3 linked regions of the Caenorhabditis elegans genome follow. The protein of the gene in region 2 purifies or fractionates together with the protein of the main gene of each other region. This does not show direct contact. Each region holds a gene or a part of one and is shown on either strand. Other genes may lie near its edges.

The links.
Region 1: the proteins of mrps-26 (region 2) and dhps-1 fractionate together in Caenorhabditis elegans (co-fractionation; one large-scale study listed by BioGRID). This does not show direct contact.
Region 3: the proteins of mrps-26 (region 2) and mrps-15 fractionate together in Caenorhabditis elegans (co-fractionation; one large-scale study listed by BioGRID). This does not show direct contact.

What each region holds. Positions count from the first base shown.
Region 1 is NC_003280.10:11,990,184-12,000,015, forward strand, and holds dhps-1 (Deoxyhypusine synthase), read left to right. Parts: upstream 1-2,817; 5' UTR 2,818-2,831; coding exon 2,832-3,044; intron 3,045-3,621; coding exon 3,622-3,771; intron 3,772-4,912; coding exon 4,913-5,294; intron 5,295-6,915; coding exon 6,916-7,044; intron 7,045-7,477; coding exon 7,478-7,719; 3' UTR 7,720-7,827; downstream 7,828-9,832. Other genes in the region: Y17G7B.3 (hydroxyacylglutathione hydrolase), read left to right, coding at 1-162, 1,180-1,653; Y17G7B.23 (DUF281 domain-containing protein), read left to right, coding at 9,077-9,201, 9,271-9,460. UniProt on the Caenorhabditis elegans protein: Catalyzes the NAD-dependent oxidative cleavage of spermidine and the subsequent transfer of the butylamine moiety of spermidine to the epsilon-amino group of a critical lysine residue of the eIF-5A precursor protein to form the intermediate deoxyhypusine residue.
Region 2 is NC_003281.10:5,231,756-5,237,966, forward strand, and holds mrps-26 (Small ribosomal subunit protein mS26), read left to right. Parts: upstream 1-2,861; 5' UTR 2,862-2,862; coding exon 2,863-3,024; intron 3,025-3,316; coding exon 3,317-3,922; 3' UTR 3,923-3,932; intron 3,933-4,304; 3' UTR 4,305-4,609; downstream 4,610-6,211. Other genes in the region: prmt-5 (Protein arginine N-methyltransferase 5), read left to right, coding at 1-350, 628-1,109, 1,729-1,900, 2,125-2,343, 2,392-2,463.
Region 3 is NC_003279.8:8,689,675-8,695,661, reverse strand, and holds mrps-15 (Small ribosomal subunit protein uS15m), read left to right. Parts: upstream 1-3,100; 5' UTR 3,101-3,123; intron 3,124-3,170; coding exon 3,171-3,251; intron 3,252-3,302; coding exon 3,303-3,366; intron 3,367-3,416; coding exon 3,417-3,505; intron 3,506-3,550; coding exon 3,551-3,770; intron 3,771-3,817; coding exon 3,818-3,888; intron 3,889-3,934; coding exon 3,935-4,099; intron 4,100-4,151; coding exon 4,152-4,301; intron 4,302-4,379; coding exon 4,380-4,532; 3' UTR 4,533-4,623; downstream 4,624-5,987. Other genes in the region: pbs-7 (Proteasome subunit beta), read left to right, coding at 18-299; K07A12.5 (Pre-mRNA-splicing factor SYF2), read left to right, coding at 518-539, 583-724, 777-888, 1,004-1,141, 1,188-1,306, 1,353-1,447, 1,492-1,609, 1,658-1,960 and 1 more; asg-1 (putative ATP synthase subunit g 1, mitochondrial), read right to left, coding at 2,272-2,442, 2,490-2,714; hbs-1 (Tr-type G domain-containing protein), read left to right, coding at 4,733-4,775, 4,825-4,884, 4,933-5,243, 5,369-5,587.

The sequences.
Region 1 (9,832 bases), on a different chromosome or scaffold from region 2:
ACAGCAGTACTAACCACCCATCACCACTATGATCATTGTGGTGGAAATGAAGGATTTCGTCGTCAATTCCCGAATGTCATGATTCTCGGTGGAGATTCAAGGATTCCGGCAATGGATCGGCACGTGAAGCATGGTGATATGGCAGAGTTCGCTGGGCTTCAGGTTATTTTTTTGAAATTTGATTTTTGAAAAAAAAATTAAATTTTTTTTGTTCCAAAATTTTAATATTGGTTTTTTTAGAAGACCTAGCATGAAATTTTAATTTTTTGAAATAATAAAAAAACTTGGGGTTTCCAGAAGTTGCTGAAAATTTTTTGAAAATTCAACCCTTTTTCTACAAAAAAAAAATCGATTTTTTGTTGGTATAATAAAAAAATTGGAATTTTTTATTCAAAAAATTTATTAGCAGTTTTCAGCAAAAAAAACGGAAAAAATTGCAGATTTTAACTTTTTTCTAAAAAATCGCTGCAGTTTTTCTTAAATTCCAGTTTAAAAAAAAACCTTATCTTCTTGAATTTCTGAATATTTTCTCGTGAAAAAATGTTTTAAAATCAGATATTTTCAACAAAAATCAAAAATTGCGGTTTTTTTCAAAAATTGTTTTACAAAAATGACACAATGATTGAAATTGTGCAAATTTTATTGCAATTAATTATTGCAATTTTTTTTAATATTCAAAAAAATTTCTTAAATAAATTCAAAAGAAAATTCCAAATTCCAAAAAAAATTCTTTAAAAAAACCAACAAAATAAATTCTTTTAAAATCTAACAAAAAAATCCTTTGAAAATTATTAAAAATCCAAAAAAAAAACCCTAAATAATTTCAAAAAAATATTCCAAAACAGAAAAAAGGTGTATTTTTAAAATTATTTAAAAATCCAAAAAAACTCCAAAACAAGTCCCAAAAAATCCTCGAAAAAATTTTTTAAAAAATCCAAAAAAAAATCCTTTAAAAAGTATTTAAAAATCCAAAAAAATTATTTCAAAAAATCCGAAAAAAATTTTGAAAAGTATTAAAAAATCCGAAAAATCCTCAAAAAATTCTTGCAAAATCAAACAAAAAAAATCCAAAATTAAAAAAAAAATCGAACAAAAAAAAATCCAAAAAAATCCGAAAAAAAACCTTTAAAAAGTATTTAAAAATCCTTTTTTTCTCTAATAAATTCCTAAAATTTCCAGATAAAATGTCTATCCACTCCATGTCACACATCCGGTCACATCTGCTACCACATCACAAATCCTGCCGCAGATTCCACTTCCCCTGGAGTCGTTTTCACCGGTGACACCCTATTCATCGCCGGTTGTGGGCGGTTCTTCGAGGGCACGGCACCACAAATGGACGTGGCACTCAACGAAATTCTCAAAAATCTTCCAGTCGAGACCCAAATATTTCCGGGACACGAGTACACTGTCGCCAACCTGAAATTCGCGTGCCACGTGGAACCTGGCAACGAGAAAGCTGCTCAGAAGCTCGAGTGGGCTCAACGACAAATTGAGCAGGGTGGATTTACGGTTCCGAGTACTGTAGCTGAGGAAAAAGCAACGAATCCATTTATGAGGGTACGGGAATCTGAGGAAATTCAAAAATCGATTGGGACATGCGATGCGGTCGTGGGAATGGCCAAATTGAGAGAAATGAAGAATAAATTCTAATTTTTTTTTTGGTTTTTTAATATAATTTTCTTGAAAATTTAAGCTTTTTTCATTGTAAAATTATCTAAATTTTGGAAAAAAAATTAAAAAAAAAAACAAGAAAAAGTGTTTTTTAAAAGAAATTTTGTAATTTGTATTTATGGAAAAAATTAGCAAAAGAATTTTTTTCAGAATTTTTTTTTTCGAAATTTCAATGAACATTTGAGGAATTTTACTATTTTTTAATTCAGAAAATGTACAAAATTGGAAAAAAAAACTGAAATTTGATTAAAAATCATCTGAATTCGATCGAATTTAAAAAAAAATCCGAAATTAAATAATTAATTCAAAAAATACTCTATTCGTTTTAAATTTTTCTAAATTAAAAAATGACAATTTTTTGAAATCAAAAAATTATTTTGTTTTAATTTAGAAAAAATATCTTAATTTCGAATAAAAAACTTTCTTTTTGGTTTTTGGAAAGTTCCACAATCTGGGAGAATTTTTAGAATTAATTACAGATTTTTTGAAAAAAAAAAGAATTTAAATGATTTTCAATGAAATTTTAATTATGGAAACGAACAAAATTCTAAAATTACGAAAGTAAAATTTCCAAAAAAGCGAAATTTTTCAAAAAATTGGCATTTTTCGGAATTTTTGTTTTCGGAAAAACTTCCACAATTTAAATTTTAAACGAATTGAGAATTTTTGAATTAATTACGGATTTTTTTTGAGAAATTTTACAAAAATCGAATTTCGATGATTTTTATTTTTTTCAAACAAATTTTGGTTTTTTTTTGTTGTGAACTTTCTTTATAAAATCGAACCAAAAAAAAGTTGTTTTTTTTTTCGAAAAAAAAATTCTGAATTTTTTCTAAACTACGAAATCTAAATTGCTAAAAAAAATTGTATAAAAATCGGCATTTTTATTGTAAATTGATTTGATTTTATGTGATTTCATTCCGGTTTTAATTTCTATTTTCCTGCTAAAATGTCTATAAATTTATGCTTATTCATTTTTTTCCGATTTTTTTTGGTACAAATTTTGTTAATTCAGTTTTCAATCATATTTTATTTGATTTATTGTATTTTTTTTTTTGGATTTTTTCAAAAAATTTTAATATTTTGTCTAATTTTACACCTAACTAATAGTAAATTCAGTAAAAACCCGCCTCAATTTTTCAGAAACTTGCTCCAAAATGAGCACCAACGAAGCAGCAGCATCTCAGGAGGATATAGCACTTGCTCAGGGAGCAGTTCTCGTGAAATCATGTCAAGTACCGGATGGTTCAATTCCGATTCGCGGATTCGATTTCAGCACGGCTTCTGGTCCGGATTTCTCGCTTTCCGCCATTCTTTCGTCTTATATGAGCACAGGATTTCAGGCAACACATTTGGCTCAGGCTATTCAGGTAGCCAGTTGCAAAAAATTCAGATTTAATTTGGAAATCAGAAGGAAAATTGAAAATTTCGAAAAAAAAATTTAATTCGAAAATTCCCGGTTTTTTAATGATTTTCTGAGAATGTCAGACTTATTGATTTTTTTTGAATCGAAAAAAAATTTTATTAAAAAAAAAAAAAATTCTGGGAAAGTTGAAATTAAATTATATTTAAACATAAAATAATGTAAAAAAGAAAAAATTAGAAAAAAATCATAAAAAAATGTATTTCGAAAATGCTTTTTTACATTTTTTAGGCGGAAATTTTCCTTTTTTTTATGATTTTCTGAGAAAGTCGACCTTTTTTATTTTTTTTTCTCAAATTCCAAATAAAAATTTTTTAAACTTATAGTTAAATTTTTAAAAAATTTTGAAAAAATCGCAAAAATTTTTATTTTTAATTTTTGAAATAGTCGGACTTATAGATTTTTTAAAATAAAATTCTGGAAGAATTTTAACTTCAAAAAATAATTTTTTTTACAAAAAATTTGGAAAAATAGCAGCAAAAAATTGTTTTACTCAATAAATTCCGAATTTTCCCAATTTTCAGCAAGTAAATCAAATGCTCTCCCTCCGTGATACTCCGTTGACTTGTGACGACGACGAGAAGCTTTTCCCATATCCAGAAGGTCGGCAAAAGAGATCATGTACTATTTTCCTCGGATACACGTCGAATTTGGTGACCAGTGGGCTTCGTGAGGTCCGTAAATCTACAAAAGATCTACACAAAAGTTGAAATTCCTCGTAATTCTACACGAAAACTATGTTTACCGTAAATCTACCCAAAATTGATCTTTGTAAATCTACACGAAAACTGAATTTCCCCGTAAATCTACACGTGAAAAATTAGTGCTTCCCGCAATTCTACGAAAAAACAATTAAAATTCCCCGTAAATCTACACAAAAATTGAAAGTCCTCGTAAATCTACACCTGAAACACTAGTGCTTCATGTAAATCTACCAACAAATTAGATTTACATGAAGTAAATCTACAACAAAAATCAAAGTTTCTCGTAAATCTACACCTTAAAAAGCTATGGTTACCGTAATTCTACACATAACTGATTCTTCTTGTAAATCTACACATCAACTCTAAAAATGACCCAAATCTACACTAAAATGTCCCCGTAAATCCACACCAATCCCCGTAAATCTACACAAGAAAAAATATATTTTTCCGTAAATCTACACAAAACTGAATCTCCCCGTAAATCTACACAAAATTGATCCTCGTAAATCTACACAAAATTGAATTTCTCCGTAAATCTACATAAAAACGGAATTTCCTGGTTAATCTACACAGAAATTCAAATTCCCCGTAAATCTAAATAAAATTTGTATTCGTCGTAAATCTACATCTAAAAAATCCTGCTTCTCGTAAATCTACAAAAAAAAACACAATTTCCCTGTAAATCTACACAAAAATTAATACTTCTCGTAAATCTACACAGGAAAATAAATACTCAGCTTTCTCGTCAATCTACCCACAAAAACTATGCTCACCGTAATTCTACACAGAACTGATTCTCCTTGTAAATCTACACATCAATTCTAAAATTGGCCCAGAAGCCTAAATCCATTAAGAAATATTGTAAATCTACACTAAAATGCCCCCGTAAATCCACACCAAACCGTCTCTAAAAAAATTTTTAAATTCAAATTCAATGTGCTGTTATTTCTCGTAAATTTACACAAGAACATATACTTCCGTAAATCTACACCGAAATTAGCGTCTCGTAAATCTACACAAAACCTGAAATTTCCCCGTAAATCTACATAAAGGTACCGTAAATTCACTCTAAATTCGTAAATCCACCCAAATGAAAAATTAAAAATTCCAGGTACTCCGCTATTGTGTCCAACGTAACCTAGTCGACTGTATCGTAACATCAGCGGGAGGCATCGAAGAGGATCTCATCAAATGTCTCAAACCTTCCTACCTCGGTACATTCACAATGGACGGTGCAAAACTTCGATCGAATGGAATGAATCGAGCCGGCAATGTGCTCATTCCGAATGATAATTATTGTGCATTTGAGGATTGGCTTATGCCAATTCTTGATGAATGTCTTGTTGAACAAGAGGAAAAGCATCTCAATTGGACACCGTCAAAGCTTATTCAACGGCTTGGTGAACGGATTGGTGATGAATCGTCGATACTGTATTGGGCGGCCAAGCATCGGATTCCCGTATTTTGTCCGGCGCTTACTGATGGGTCATTGGGTAGGGGATTTTGAATTTGGATTTTGAAAAATAAATCGAATTTTGGAGAAAAAATTCGAAAAAACTTTGAAAATAGATTTTTTTTAATTTATCAATTTTGCAAAAAAAAATATTCAAAGATTTTGAAAAATTGGAAAAAAAATTGAATTTTTTGAAAGAATTTGTTGGCAAATTTGCCGGAATTTTTCATTTTCGGCAATTTGCCGGTTTGCCGGAATTTTTCATTTTCGGCAAATTGCCGATTTGCCGGAAATTGTCAATTCCGCCAATTTGCCGGTTTGCCGATTTGCCGGAAATGTTCAATTCCGGCAATTTGCCAAATTTTCCGAAATTTTTCAATTCCGGCAATATGTCGATTGCCGGAATTTTTTATTTTCGGCAAATTGCCGATTTTCCTGAAATATTTAATTCCGACAATTTGCCGGTTTGCCTATTGCCGGAAATTTTCATTTTCGGCAAATTAGCGTTTTGCCGGAAATATTAAATTCCGCCAATTTGTCGGTTGGCCTATTTCCGGAAATTTTCATTTTCGGCAAATTGCCGATTTGCCGGAAATTGTCAATTCCGCCAATTTGCCGGTTTGCCGATTTGCCGGAAATGTTCAATTCCGGCAATTTGCCAAATTTTCCGAAATTTTTCAATTCCGGCAATATGTCGATTGCCGGAATTTTTTATTTTCGGCAAATTGCCGATTTTCCTGAAATATTTAATTCCGACAATTTGCCGGTTTGCCTATTGCCGGAAATTTTCATTTTCGGCAAATTAGCGTTTTGCCGGAAATATTAAATTCCGCCAATTTGTCGGTTGGCCTATTTCCGGAAATTTTCATTTTCGGTAAATTGCCGATTTGCCGGAAATTTTCAATTCCGCCAATTTGCCGGTTTGCCGATTTGCCGGAAATGTTCAATTCCGGCAATTTGCCAAATTTTCCAAAATTTTTCAATTCCGGCAATATGTCGATTGCCGGAATTTTTCATTTTCGGCAAATTGCCGATTTTCCTGAAATATTTAATTCCGACAATTTGCCGGTTTGCCTATTGCCGGAAATTTTCATTTTCGGCAAATTAGCGTTTTGCCGGAAATATTAAATTCCGCCAATTTGCCGGAAATATTAAATTCCGCCAATTTGTCGGTTGGCCTATTTCCGGAATTTTTCATTTTCGGCAAATTGCCGATTTGCCGGAAATGTTCAATTCCGGCAATTTGCCAAATTTTCCAAAATTTTTCAATTCCGGCAATATGTCGATTGCCGTAATTTTTCATTTTCGGCAAATTGCCGATTTTCCTGAAATATTTAATTCCGACAATTTGCCGGTTTGCCTATTGCCGGAAATTTTCATTTTCGGCAAATTAGCGATTTGCTGGAAATATTAAATTCCGCCAATTTGCCGGAAATTTTAAATTCCGGCAAAATGCCGATTTGCCCATTTGCCGGAAAAAATTTTTTTTCGGCAAATTGCCGTTTTGCCGATTTGCCGAAAATGTTTAAAGGGATTTTTTATAAGAGAGCATCGAAAAAAAAAATTGCATTATTTTTAAACAAAATTTGCAAAAAATTGTTAAAGTTTTTGAAATTTGAAAAAAAAATTCAAAAAATTTTTATTTTAGTCAATTTTTTCAGGTGACATGTTGTACTTCCATTCGGTGAAAAGCTCACCTGGGCTTCGTGTGGATATTGTAGAGGACGTTCGACATATTAATACAATTGCTGTCAAAAGTTTCAAGACTGGATCAATTATTTTAGGAGGAGGTCCGAAATTAAAAAAAATATGTGAAAAACCCTGTTTTAGAAATTTTAAATTAATTTTTTCTCAAAAATTTTATGAATTTTCCAACATTTTTTTTGCAGTTTTCTGAAGATTGAAAAATTATTGAAAAAAATTGAGAAAAAAATTAAACTTTGAATTTTGAATTTGAAAATACCATAGTAATGAAAGCAATTTTCCAAATTTATTGTTAAATTTAATTTTCATACACTTTTTTCTAGTTTTTTCCAAAATAAAAAAATTTCTCGAAAATTTTAACGTAAAATTTCTTTGAAAAAAAGCTGAGTATGTAAAAAAAAATTTGGACTTTAAACAAAAAGAATTTAAACTAATTTTTTAAAATCAAATTCACAAAATTTGAAAAAAATGCTTTCCAGAATTTTTCCCCATTTTTGTCAAAAAATCCTACAATTCCAGGAGTCGTAAAACACCACATCAACAACGCGAATCTCATGAGAAACGGCGCAGATCATACCGTCTACATCAACACCGGCCAAGAATTCGATGGCTCCGATTCTGGAGCTCAACCCGACGAGGCAGTGAGCTGGGGGAAGGTTAAGCCGTCGGCTGGAGCTGTGAAGGTTCATGCTGAGGCGACACTTGTATTCCCACTTTTGGTTGCTGAAACTTTTGCAAAACATGAAGGACACAAGGATTAGGAATTTTTGCCAAATTTTCCCCCAATTTTTAAAACTATTTTTTCATTGTTACCTGTTTTGTTGACTTTTTCACTTGTTTGTTATTTTCTTAATACAGATTCTTTAATATTACTTTTTTTTAATTTACGAATGATTTGCGGGACAAGAAAACAATTAAAATATTTCGAAAAATCGAATTTTTGAAGATTTTTTCAAAGAACTTCAAAAAAATTCCTCAATTTTTTCTGAAAAGTTCAAAAAAAAATTAGCTGTTCAAAAAATTGTAACAAATCCGGCAATTTGCTTGCCGGTTTGCCGATTTGCCGGAAATTTTTAATTCCGGCAAATTGCCCGTTTGCCAGAATTGTTTAGAGGGATTTTTTATAAGGAAACACTTAAAACTGTGTCTTTATGAATTTTTTTCCCGTTTTTTCTACATATTTTCATAGAATTTGCTTACTTTTCAAAATAGATGTAGGAACATTCATAGGATGCGCTTAATTTTGTCATTTGAAATTGATATTCTGAAATTTCCAAAAACATAAGTGCGAAACTACAATTTGCCGAAAATTTTCGGTAAACTCCAGTTTTCCGGCAAATTCGGCACATCGGCAATTTGCCGGTTTGCCGATTTGCCGGTTTGCCGATTGGCCGGAAAAAATCGTTTTCCATCCACTGTACTGTAGCGCTTGTGTCGATTTACGGGCATCATTTATTAATCGATGAAACATCGAAAGAAAACACAAAAAAGGACAAAACAGTACGAAAAAACTAAAGAAAATTCGAAAACCGAACCCGTAAATCGACACCAGCGCTACAGTAGTCCTTCATGAAATTACTGTAGTTTTCGCTATGAGATATTTTTAGATTTAGAGATATGTTAGGCGATATGCTTTCTCAGGATTTTTGTCTTCTCGTAATATATGTTTTTTTCCTAATTTTTTTGCAACAATGATTAAAAAATTAAAAAAAAAAACCAAATCCAATTCTATAACAGTATTTTCCTGTTCTTATTTGTATAATTGACTCACTGCACATAATACACTAAAACTCATGACTCTTCTCAAAACTGACATTCTCTGAAAACTATTTGCCTATACGGTCGTAAATTCTTGTTTTTTTTCTGAGAATTTTTCAGACTTTTCCAGAATTTCAGAACCCCTTTTATGACTTTTTGAGTCACTTTAATAGACAAACAAACATTTTTCGTATAAAAGAAGTGCTCCGAGTGCTCAATTGTCCCGGCTCGTTCAATTGGAATTTTGTCCTTTTTCTTGTTATTCTTTTTATGTTTATTTAATCTAAATATAAATATTTTTTCAGATAAAAAGGCATAATGATGTCATTGAAAATTCAAATTTTTTTGTTAACATTTATGATGTGGATTTTGGGAGTCCGGGCGCAGGACAAAGATTGCATCCAGTGTGCAACATCAAACTTAATGGAAGATTGGGGAGCAACAGGACTTCCGCTGAAACCGGCGAATCTCCTGTTTGATGACAAGTGCGTTTTCATGTTATAATCATACACCTAGCGGCATAACTTAAATGCAACCAGACACCCTTATTTCAGATGCGGTACGCCGAATAGTTTAGTGAGTACTGTTTCTGGCAACTGTGCATCGATGTGCTTCGAACTCATGATTCCGGTGAACAATAAGCTCGCGTTTGTACGAGGGTGTCACGCTGATTTTGTATGGGACGAGTTCGCGTCACATAATGAGTCTTGTCATCAGTACGTGGACGATGTAACAGTTATTAAGGTTAGTTGGGCACTCTTTGAAAACATGATCAACAACTGGAAAATGATGAGAACGACAATAAAAAATAGGACAAAAGGTGTATTAAAACAAATATCTAAATAAAATAGGATTCCTTGATTTTTTTGAATACCTTATTTCTTCTATTAATATGGCTGTATCATACTATTTTTATAACTACCGCTTGCAATACTAATAGGGAATGCAAGACTATTAGGGAGTACCATACTATTTTTCTGAACATTTTTCTTTGTTGGGGCTTACTAATTTTTACTTGAAAGAACTCCAATTTTATTTGGAAGCTTCCGGAAGTATAAAAAATTTGATTGAAATTGCAACAAAAAACTACAATAACTTCAATCTCATTAAAAATTT
Region 2 (6,211 bases):
TTCGTGCCACAACGGATACATTCAAGTACAATACTTCTATCAAATCCGAGTATTCTCAAGCTCTTCGTCATGCAGTTCGAAATGTTAATTACCGAAGTCGTCCTGATGTTGGAGAAGGATCGAATGACTCCACTCATTATCTTAATGTTATCGAATACAAAGATGTTTTGCAAGCACCTCTTCAACCATTGTCTGAAAATTTGGATTCAGGAGTTTATAATACATTCGAGCAGGATCAAATTAAATACGACGTGTATGGAGAAGCTGTAGTTGGAGCATTAAAAGATCTTGGAGCTGACGGAAGAAAAACTGTTGTCATTTACTTGTTGGGAGGAGGACGTGGTCCTATTGTGAGTTTTTGGCTATTAAGTAGAAAAAGTCCCTTTTAATTCGACATGAAAACATATTTTGTGGCCAATTGAAAACACTCCACCCCCTGACCATGGGTCTCGTTTGGAAGTTGGCGACAAGCCGGAAATTCAAACATTTTGCAGTTAATTTTGCCAATTGTCTGAAGCGAACTGCAACATTTTTCAATTTACAGTTTTTCGGTCTAAATGAATATCAAAACGGGCATTTTTATGCGTCTCCATAGTTTTAAATATTATAAATTTCAATTTTTTTCAGGGAACGAAAATTCTGAAATCTGAAAGAGAATACAACAACACATTCCGACAAGGCCAAGAAAGTCTCAAAGTGAAGCTTTATATTGTTGAAAAGAATCCAAATGCAATCGTCACTCTGAAATATATGAATGTGAGAACATGGAAACGACGAGTAACGATTATTGAAAGTGATATGCGAAGTCTGCCGGGAATTGCGAAAGATCGTGGATTCGAACAACCTGACATAATTGTTTCGGAACTTCTTGGAAGTTTTGGAGATAACGAGTTGAGTCCTGAATGTCTAGATGGTGTCACTGGATTTTTGAAGCCAACAACAATTTCAATTCCACAGAAGTACACTAGCTATGTGAAGCCAATAATGAGTACTCATATTCATCAAACAATTAAAGCTCAAAGTATTCCTTATTTGAGTCGTGCAATTCCATCGCATGGTAGAGGTGAACCGGAATTGGATGAAGACGAAATGTGGATTCAAAAATACCCGTTTGTTTTTCAATTTTTTTATAAAAATATAAACATTCTGCCTTATTACCCCGATGCCAAATTTTGCTAGTCCCGGTCTCGATTAGACAAAATTTTTAAAATTAAAAAAAAAATTCAAACAAAAATCTTTGTTATATGCGAAAACGTGTGCACCTTTAAACTATACTGTAATCTAAGACTTGTTGCTGCAGAGTTTTTATTAATTTTTTATAGTTTTTTTTGGTTGGCATTTTATTATTTTAGTTTAGTTTTGATAAATTGATATTGATTTTTATTTAAAAAACTATGAAAAATCATGGGATATTGAAATTACAGTACTCTTCAAAGGTACAAAAAGTTTCGTATTAACGAATATTTATCGTGTAGATACCGGGTACCGTAATATTAGAAAAAGTATCGCTAAAATTCATGTTGTGGTAATAAATATTTCTGAAGTTTTCTACTCTTGTGTACATAAAGGCCCTGGCCGAGTACACGGAGGTTTCTAGGCCATCTTTTCTTGACGGGAGTATCCGCTCCACAAGTTATGCTTCAATTTACTCTTATTTTAGAATAATTTTTAATTAAAAAAAAAGCATAAAAACTTTTTTTTTAAATTTTAATAAACATTTTCTTTCAGACAAGGACATGTTCGTAACAATATGGATCAAATCTACGTTGTATATCTTTCAAAATACATTCCACTTGCCGAAACCACCAAACCAGTATTCACATTTGAACATCCAAATTTCATGAATTCAAGCAATGAGAGAAGCGATTCTATTGAATTTGTTATGGATAGAAATGCAGATGTAAGTTTTTCAGCAAAAAAAAAAAAAAAAACTTAGAAATTCTTAAGAAAATTTAAAAATATTTTTTCGTTGATTATTTGAGGTAATTTGCTTATATTAAATGCAAAATTCGCACAAATGACAGTCCACCTTTGAAAATAAAACAATGAATTGAAAAATTTTATTGATAAAATATGTGTTTATTAAATTAAAAATCAAATAAGTTAGAACCTAATTTATTTCAGCTGATGGGATTCGCCGGCTACTTTGATCTTCAACTCTACAAAACCGTGATGCTTTCAATTGAACCATCAACTCATACACCTGGAATGGTCAGTTGGTTCCCAGCTGTTATTCCACTTAGAGATCAATTGAGAGTTGGAGAAGGTGACAGAATTTCTCTGAAAATCGATCGAAAAGTTGACAATACTGGTGTGTGGTACGAATGGCATGTTGAAAAAAAGGTAACAGTTTTTGATAACTTATTAAGATTATAGTTGAGTTTTTTCCAGAAAACCAATGGCGAATCTGTGAGCACCCCGATCCAGAATCCAAATGGAGAGAGCTATTACATGAGAATGTAGTGCCTAGTTTTTCGCTTTTATAATTATTATTTTCCTGTTTTAATCCTAATTGTTGATGTGTTATTCACTTTTGCGCCCCTATTGAATTTCCCAATCATTCCTAGAATTTTTTCCGTTGGTTTTCCCATTTCCTGTTGCCCATTTTCCGGTTCATTAATTTGAAGATTCTTTTTTGCTCCGGTATCTATCGCGATTCGATTGTTGCTCCTTTTAATTCGATATTAATTGTTTAAAAATTCAGTTTTTAAGTTTCCGTTAATTTTCCGAATTAAAGAGCTTGTTTTATTCTGTTGTTTTTTTGTAATTTTGAATTATAGTTATTAGTTTTCATACTAAAACATATTTTTATAGAGATTTTAAAGTTTTCCCAATTATTTTTCATTTAAAAATATTTTCAGAATGTTGATAAACAGTTCTCGTTTATCAATTTCTTCAACGGGACGATGTCTTTTGGCATCTGCCATGTCACAAATGGACGAAGTATTCGGAGTACAGAAGAGACAAATGGGACGACGGCAACCAAAGCAGGGAAAACCACCAATTTTGCCTCCATCGAAGAAAGTGAGTTCTATTGATTTTTTCACTAGAACAAAAATTGGAACATAAAAAAATCCAATTTTTGCCGAAAAAAATGCGCCAGCGGGGCTTTTTCCCAAAATGACAGAAAATGTCTCAATATACCGAATATAACTGTTAGAAAATTTACAGTATTTTTCTAACTCCTTAAAAATGGGTTTTTTCAGTCTTGCAACAAAAAAACGTGCAACTTTTTATTGAAAAATTTAGAAGAATTCTATAAATTTTTAACAGTTTTAAATTTTGTTACTCTTATCTATAAATTCACAAAATTCAGGTTCTCTACCACGTTGTGCATGCTCCATGGCAGAAACCAGAAGATGTCGAGGAGCTCCTCTGGCGTCGTCATGCATACAACAATGCAGTTATTTCACTTCGAGAAGTATTCCGTGCAGAACTTGCTCAAAATGCATCTCATGGTCAGGGTATCGAAGCAATGAAAGAAGCAGAAGCACTTGAATTAGACGAATTAATTGCTCAAAATGAGAAGCGGAATGAAGAAAAACGGGCGGCACGTAAAGAACGAGAAGCCGAAGATGCGAAGGAAACAAAATCTGTAATTTTGGAAGAAATTCGAGTTGAATTGGAGAAAAGAAATGCAGGCAAAAAGCAGGCAGAAGATGAAGTTAAAAATGCAATTTCTCGTTCAAGTGAATTCATTACTCGTTCAAATCTTGAAACTAAAATTCTCGAAGCACTCGAAAAGCCAACAATTTACGATTTTGCAATTGATCGGGCTGGGAACAAGTATTTCGTACCTGAACCAGTTAAATATCAAGAAGGAACACCAACTCGACAAAAAGGACGATTGTATGATCAGACATTGGGTACACAACATGGAACTATCGAAGAAGCTAATAAGATACAACAGAAAAGTGTTTAGAGGACATGATGTGAGTTATTTTTGAACATCGAAAAATAAAAATAATAAAAAAATCTTCTAATGTAGTAATATTTTTGTTTTCAAATTTTTGAATTTTTTGAAGAAATGAAATTTTCATCTCTGGTAATTTCTCTACATAAAAATCAACTTTTTTTGATAAGTCTATAGACTAGACTACTATATTTCCTTACAATTTTTTCCAGTTTTACGAATTTCAATTTTTCAGTTCGAAAATCGAAAATTTTTCGACGACATCCATGTTCAATATAAACTTGTAGTTTGTGAGAAAAAAATATGAAATAATTGGAAAAGTGTTACACTTTTAAATATTTTCTGTAATCAATATTTTCGTTTACCTAATAATTTACTTTTTTTATTTCAGATTTGCCATTTCCCCAACTGGTCATCATCATTCTTCCCAAAAGGGACAACATTGTAGTCTACACACATTTCTTCCTAATTCGGATGATAACACTATAAGATAACTGTTCTCTGTCTCCGTCTCTTGTTCTCTCTTTCTCATTATTTTTTTTTGTATTCTATTTCCCTTTTTGAGTTTATACAAATTATATCAATTTTTGTTTTCTTTTTCTCTGTTTCAAATTCCAGTTTTCTAGACATTTTCCCTTTAGATAGACTTTTGCTGTTATAAGTTTTTGATTTTTTTCATAAATCTACAATCGTTTCATTTTACTTTCTTTAATTTGACTGTCTAAAATATTCGGATTTCAGCCGGTTGAAAATATCAGAAGAATGAACACATATGTGGCTGAAATTGGGGAAATTGTGAGATCTCAGCGAAGAGATGAAGAGTATATTGAAGATATTACAGAAAGATTGAGCAGGGTAATTAAAAAATTAGATTAGATTTTTTTTTTGAAAATTACGGTGCCTGGTCTCGACACGACAAAATTTTGTTAAATGTAAAAGGGCGTGCGCCTTTAAATTCAAAGATTACAGTAATTCACAATCTCTTTTTGCGGAATTTTCACAGATTTTTCCACAAACACATGACATTTAGAAAATAACTTTAAGTAACAACAATCGGTTGAAAATTTAAGAAACTACAGTACTATTTAAAAGCGCACACATTTTAGAATTTAACAGAAAATTTGTCGCGACGAGAATAATCCAATTACACAACAGGAATAAGTCAAATTGCCAAACTGTTTTTGTGATAAAAAATTAGTTATTTGAATTTCTTAAATTTCTAGGTCAGCAAAGAGCTTCTGGGCCAACGTACGTGGATTCGGTGGTTTCCGTATTTAAAATCCATCGCATCGACTCTTTATTATACGAGCACAGTTGTATTAGGTCAGAATATTAATATTTCAATCATAAATCAAGAAATCCCATTTTCGTTCAGGAAATCAAACTCTTGGCGAGGAATACGTTCATTTATTTGAATCAAACGGTCTTGAACGAACAGTTCCATCGATTCCATCACGGATTTCTTTTGTTCTTCTTCATTCAGCATTTCCATTAATTTCAAATTATTTGATTCAGGTGATTTTCATAGTTTCTTTTTGAAAATATTTGTGAAAATAAGTTTACAGAAAGCAGAATCAACACTTACACATCCATCAACTGAATCATTTCTTGGAATTCCGATTCGAAAAAATCAAAAAGCTCGTCAATCATTTCTTGACGTGTTTTTCTGGTTGAGAACTAAACTTTTTCCACAACTTCAACGTGCTCATATTGCTCTTTTCTATATAACTGGAGCATATTATAGCATCGCCAGAAGATTCACTGGAATTCGATTTTTATCAGCCAGTGCTCATTCGGATATTCCTGTACGTTAAGTGGATAGTCTCATTTTGGGTCCCGGCACGAGTGAGACTTTCCAGCTACCGTACTCCCAATCTAGATAGATTTTCAAAATTTTATTGGGTTTCATTACCCAGACGCGAATTATTACAGTAGTCTTTAAAGGCGCACACATTTTTAAATTTAACAAAAAATTTGTCGTGTCGAGACCGGGTACCGTATTTTTGCCACAAAAACATTAAGCTTTTCAATATTTAAAGTTTTCAGGCGCTGAAAGTTTATCGATTCCTTGGTTATATAACATTAATTCAATTGGCAGTTAGTATTGGAATATCATTATATTCATTTCTAGAACAGGAGAAATTCAATAATAAATTGAAAAAGGAGAAAAAAGAAAACAACGGAGGATCGGATAGGAATCTAGACGAGAATTCGGTGAGTTTTTCACGAGCATATAATAATTTTGAAATAACAATTTCTTTCAGCTATTTCATCCAACATTCCAGTGTTCAATTTGTC
Region 3 (5,987 bases), on a different chromosome or scaffold from region 2:
ATTATTCTAAATTTCAGGGATGCGCATATCAAGTGAAGCACATTGCAACTGGACTTGGAGCGTTCCTCCTCAACCAAGCTGTTGAAGATGAGTGGAGAAAGAAGGGAGAAGACCTCTCCCGTGAAGAGGCAGAAGCCGTGCTTCGCAAATCGCTTGAACTTACTCTCTACCACGACTGCGTCGCTGACAATGAGTTCGAAATCGGACGTGTTGATGCGACAGAAGGTGTCGTTTTGGGTAAAGAAGAGAAGATTATTGGTGACTGGTCGATTGCCGAGACTAACTGTCAATATGAATAAGTTTTCCCCGGTGTGCAGGATGCGTTTCAGTATCTCCATGTTTAACTTATTTGTATCCTTCTTTTCAAAACATTTTACTCTCTCCAACCCACGTTTTCGGTGTAAATTTTATTTATTTTCGCGTGAAGTCGATAAATAAACTTCCATTTAATCCTTCTATTCACGTCTAAGTATTCACACGCATCATTTCACAAGTGCTCGAGTCAAAAATAGCGAGCATGAATTTCTCTGGTTTAAAAAGTATGATGAGTTTTTGGTTTAAAGTAAAATCGAGCGCTTTCAGGTAAACTCCAAAAGCTCAGTTTATCACCATCGCCTGATAAACAGAAATCTGATTATGAAAAGAAACAGGCGAAGAAGATGAGCTACAAAAAGAAGATGCAGCAGCGGTATAAACTGAGTGATGATCAGTATGAAACTCACAAGTAATTAAATAAATTGATGTATATGTAATAACTTATCTGATTTGGTTTCCAGGAAGGATGCTCAGAAACAACTGAAAAATTGGGAAGAATTTCGAAAGGAGCAAGTAGTTGAAATCTTTCATACGCAGTCTCAATACGTTTCGAAATCGAAAAATTCAGACGTGGTAAGCATACAGTATATATATATATATATCTCGCCGCGCAAAGGAAGTGCTTAATTACGGTTTTTACTATCCATCTAAAAAGTTAAAAAGAAATACATTATTTCTTGAAATTCAGCGCCATCCAAAGATGCAACGAGCCAATACGGTTGTCAATCGTCAAGGAGTGAAAGTTGATGTAGAATTTGGACGATTGAAAGAATACTACTTATCCACTTTGGCTCCACAAAAAAAGTTTGTGTCGATTCGTGATCACGTAACATAGAGATTATAGAGAAATTTACTTTAACCATGAACTTTAGGCAGCTCGTGAAAAGGAACTGGACGCTCTTCGTAAGAAACAGAAAATCAGTTTGGAGCAAAGGAAAGATAAACAGGACAACATAAAAAAGTCCCAAGCAGAGTACGATCAGATGAAAAGGTTTCAATGGGTCGAATGGTTTTATGTAGAAATTATCATATTTTAGCTTATACGCTGCCCCTGTCGATCCCAAGCAAACAAAAGTGGAAACAATGGAGCAAAAAGAAGTTTTAGAGCCAACAGCCCCGATGGAGAAATTCGGTAAAACTACGAAACAATACAGAAATCGGAGTGTTTATTTTCAGTTGTGAATACCACTGACGACAAAAGAGCCCTGTTCCCAGCCAGTTGGTATCAACAACCGATTTCCCGTTCGCAATTGAAGAAAGGAAAGATGATTTATTGGATGGCAAAAGACGAAGAGTAATTTTCGTGGCTTGCATCCGTTGGATCTTAATATTTGAATTTCAGAGAGGATATGACGTTGGACGATGATCCAGAGGGAAAGTACACGGTTACTGCTGAAAAGTTGATTGAGACAATGACTGCTGGGGGGAAAGTTAAACATGCTGGAATAACAGAACCACCTAGCAACACAGCAAACACCATCATGTCCGAGTCCTTGGCATCAATTAATGCGAGATACAAGAAGAGTTGTGAAAGAAATGCTGTTTTCATGAATACCTTGCACGGTACTATTGAATTCAACAAGAAACAAGTATCTGTAGATAAAACCCTCTCTACAAGTTCAATAAGCCAGGATGATGCGACCGAGTAAGAATTTCGAAACTGATTTTTCTCTAACGAGTTTTATTTTTAGCGCTCCGAATCAAATCATTTTTGCTCCAACAATCACTTCTCATGTTTTCAAAGGCCGATCTCTGAAAAGACAGTATGCAGTGAAAAATAAGGCACTTGAAACTTTTGAGGAAGATCGGAAGGATTACACTCGAGAGGCTGGAGAAGAAACTAGTGGATTGTAATTTTTTGTATTGAACTAGAAAAATAAAGCCTTAATTTCTTTTATCTAACAAACGTTGAAGAAAAAACACATATTTTCACAAATGAATATGCTTATCGATGTATTAAGCTTCGAGGGCAGCGAGTCTCTTCTTTTCGGCAACCTTAGCCTTTGTATCCTTCGAGACATAATTGGCTGGAACAATGTACCCGAAAATGTAGCGACGTCCAATCATTTCTCCGACAAAGAACCAAAAGACTACCTCGAGGGCAACTGCCGAGTAGACGAGACTTTCCTGAAGTTATTTTTTATTGAGTGTTGTTTCAGCGTGTAACAAATTACCTTGATACTAAGGTTGACATATTGCTTGGTCTCAATAAACTTCTGGAGCTTAGCCCAGTCCGCCTTGATAGCTGGGATGTCAGCAGACCGGGGTGGAGCCAGCTCGTGCTTTCCAACAGCCTTGAGAATAGCGAGACGGCGTGGGAACTGCTGAGCTTGATGACGGTAAAGAGCTCCAAAGGTGTTGGCCAACTTTTCGAAGAAGCTCAGCTTGTGGGTCGCCATCGCTGAAAATTTCGAGTGTGAATGAGAGAATGTGTTTCGAAATTAATAAGGCAATAAAATTGGGAGACGAGGGAATCAATTATTGAATAGATCATTAAAATTTATTTGTTCCTTAAATGAAACTTAATAGAAAGGGAATAATGTTGCCCATGAGTGCTCATTCATTAAAAAAATCCCCCAAAATACAAGCAGCCCGTTTTAATCAAGACAGTAGTATATTTGAATCGTGGTGGGACCCTTTAAGCAATCGAGAAAGAAATCCTTGGTTTTTTTAATTCAGCGAGGCTGTCCGCAGTTGAGCGGCACGGTGTTTGCGGACTTTTACAAACCGTATCTCATTGAGTTCCAAGGCGCCGTGGAAATTTTTTTTGTTTTAATTTTCATGAATGATTAGATTAATTAATATTAAGTCAGTTTTGAACGGTATTTTTGTTCAATTTTCTATAATACTTTCAGATGATAAATCTTCGAAGATTTGTGCACACATCGTGTCGGCTGGAACGAGGAAGAACAGCGTTCTACAACGTTCATCAAAAAGTGGGTGGAAAAAAAAACAAAACTAGCCACAATTTGATATATCATTTTCAGGTCACCGACCCAGCCAAGCAAGATCCGGATTACTTTGAGAAAAAAGCGAGAGAACTGCCACTGGGTGAGTATATTCAAGTACCGAGATATATATCTCTATTAAGTGATTTTCAGATCAAAACTACATCGATGCACTTACGAAGCTTTACTACGAAAAAATTGGCAGTGAACGCGATTTGGGTTTGAAAGCAGCTGATAATTTGGTATGATAATCAAGAGTTTTATAGATATAAGCAATATTCTTGCAGATTCTCGAAAAAACCGAATTCGGATTGCCTCGTATTGAAAAATCGAAAACTCGTGCGAAATATGAAGATTTAGATGTTCTTTCGAATGCTCCAGAGTCTGTCAAAAAGATTTTTAGTGTTGAAATGGCGACGAGAAAAGAGTTGTCACAAGAATGGAAACAAAGTCTTATCAAATCAGTAAGGCAGCATTCTCTCGATGAAAATAGTTTGGAAATGAAAAGTTTGTTTGAGAAATAATCACAAAATATTATCTAAAATTAATTTCAGTTGCCTGGCTAACGGCTTTAATTCGGCATTGGTCTCTTCTTGTTAATGACATTGGACAGGAAACCAAAAAAGTAGTTTAACATTTTAAAAAGGCAATATTTCTAACATTTATTGCAGAAGCCAACATGGCTCACCCATCGAATCTGGCTCGTAATCAATGAACGCCGTAAAGCTCTTCGTATTTTACGTGAACGTAATGAGACTGCATTCGAGAAAACAATTGCCGCTCTGAAAATTTCGTATCATGTACCGAAACAGCCAGCTCATGTGAAAACTAGAAAGGTAAAGTTTGCAAATTGATAACTTTAAACACTAAAAAAACAACAAATTTCAGGCATGGGCCGAAGCACAATTAAAGTTGAGAGTTGAAAATGAAAAAGAGAAGCGATTGGAAGAATTGCACGAAAAGTACGATAAAGAAGTTGAAGAGCATAAAAGAGAGACACAAGAGAAGAGGAAAGCATTGAATAATGAATTGGATAAAGTAAGCAAAATATACACTTTGAAAATACCCTTTTTAAAACTAATTTCTGAAACGTTTCAAATTCAAACGAAATTTCAGCTTGCTCAAGAAATGCGCCAAATTGACGTTATCGAAGGAAAATCGTTTGAAACAGTTGGAAAGTATGAACCAGCTTTAATCTCTTCACTTACTGAAACTGTTATTCATTCAAATCTCTTCTATCATCCACCACCAACTATGACTGAAAAATAATCTCATTTAGAAGTTCAGAATTTTTTTTGTTGTAGTAGGATCTTTCTTATTATTGTTATGCTATTATTGAATTAAAATTTATTATCCCTCCATGTTTCTATTATGATTTCGTTAAATCGGTTGTAAATCTTCCGAAACTTTCTATCTATTTGAACGATGGGAAAGAAAACTTGCGAATTAAATATAAAACAGTTCTTCAGATGTCCCGCCACCGTGCTATTCGAAATTTAAATTTAGAAGATGGTAAGCTTCAAAAAAAAGAAACCGAAGATTAACAATTTTGTCTTTTCAGAAATGGACGACGATTATGACGACGATTACGACGATTATGAAGATGAGGAGAACCCGGAAAGTAAGAAAAACTTTATTTTTCATTCAAATAATTAATTAAAATTTTCAGAGCAATATACATATGATCGTAATTCATTATCCACAAACTACTATACATATCTGACAGATAGTGGTCGCAATTCACCAGCTCTTCCTGCTCCACATCCTGGTATTCCATCATCATCGTATCATCCACCTGTATCAACTCCAACACCTACTGCAGCTCCAACAACTTCCCTATCTTCTACTATTGTACGAAATATGACAGCTCCATTGCTCCATCAAAATCAAAAACCACCGAAGAATCTTAATAGTCGACCGAGTACACCACAAACGTCTAGCAATTTGAATACTCCAAAAAGAACGCCGCAAGTTAAAAATGTGAGCTCGAGAATACTTTAAAAAATTCAACTGTAACTTAAGTTATCACGTAATCCAATACGAGAATTTTCTTTGAAAGCATCATTTCGCATCTTATTTATATCTTATATATACTAATTTTTCAGCTTCAAGCAGAATCAACAACTCCAACTGTGAGCCGCCCATCTTCTGAAGTCGATTTAACATCATTTCGACGCAATCAACTGCAGAACATCGCGAAAGCTCCGTCAGTTGCCCGAAAAACACCAAAACCAAGAGTTGCTGATAAAGATTTAATTAACTTGATTGTCGTTGGACATGTCGATGCAGGAAAAAGTACTCTCATGGGTCATTTACTTCATGATGTAAGTTATTGAAACTTTGAAAGTGTCGTCAAAATTTTTGGTAGAACATGAGTGAGTGTCAAGAATGCACACTTCGAAACTTTTCAGATTTTTCAACATTTTCAGTCATTTATTTATCGTTGAGTAGTTTCAAGCATTGCTGCAGTCTTGAACCCTGAAAATGATTAAATACGAATAATTACAAAGTAATTGAAATCTAAAGCCCTTAAAATCGTTTTATTGATGAATGAAAATCAGGGCGGACTCCGAAAACAATTATTTTCCGAAACCGGAAACGAAAAAGGTATTCTCGACAAAAACACTCAAGTTATAATTTCGAGTGTTTTTTTTGGATAGTAACACTGCCAAATTTAAGAATTCGTCAGTTACTTTATTGATCTCTTTTTTTTCCGAAAATATC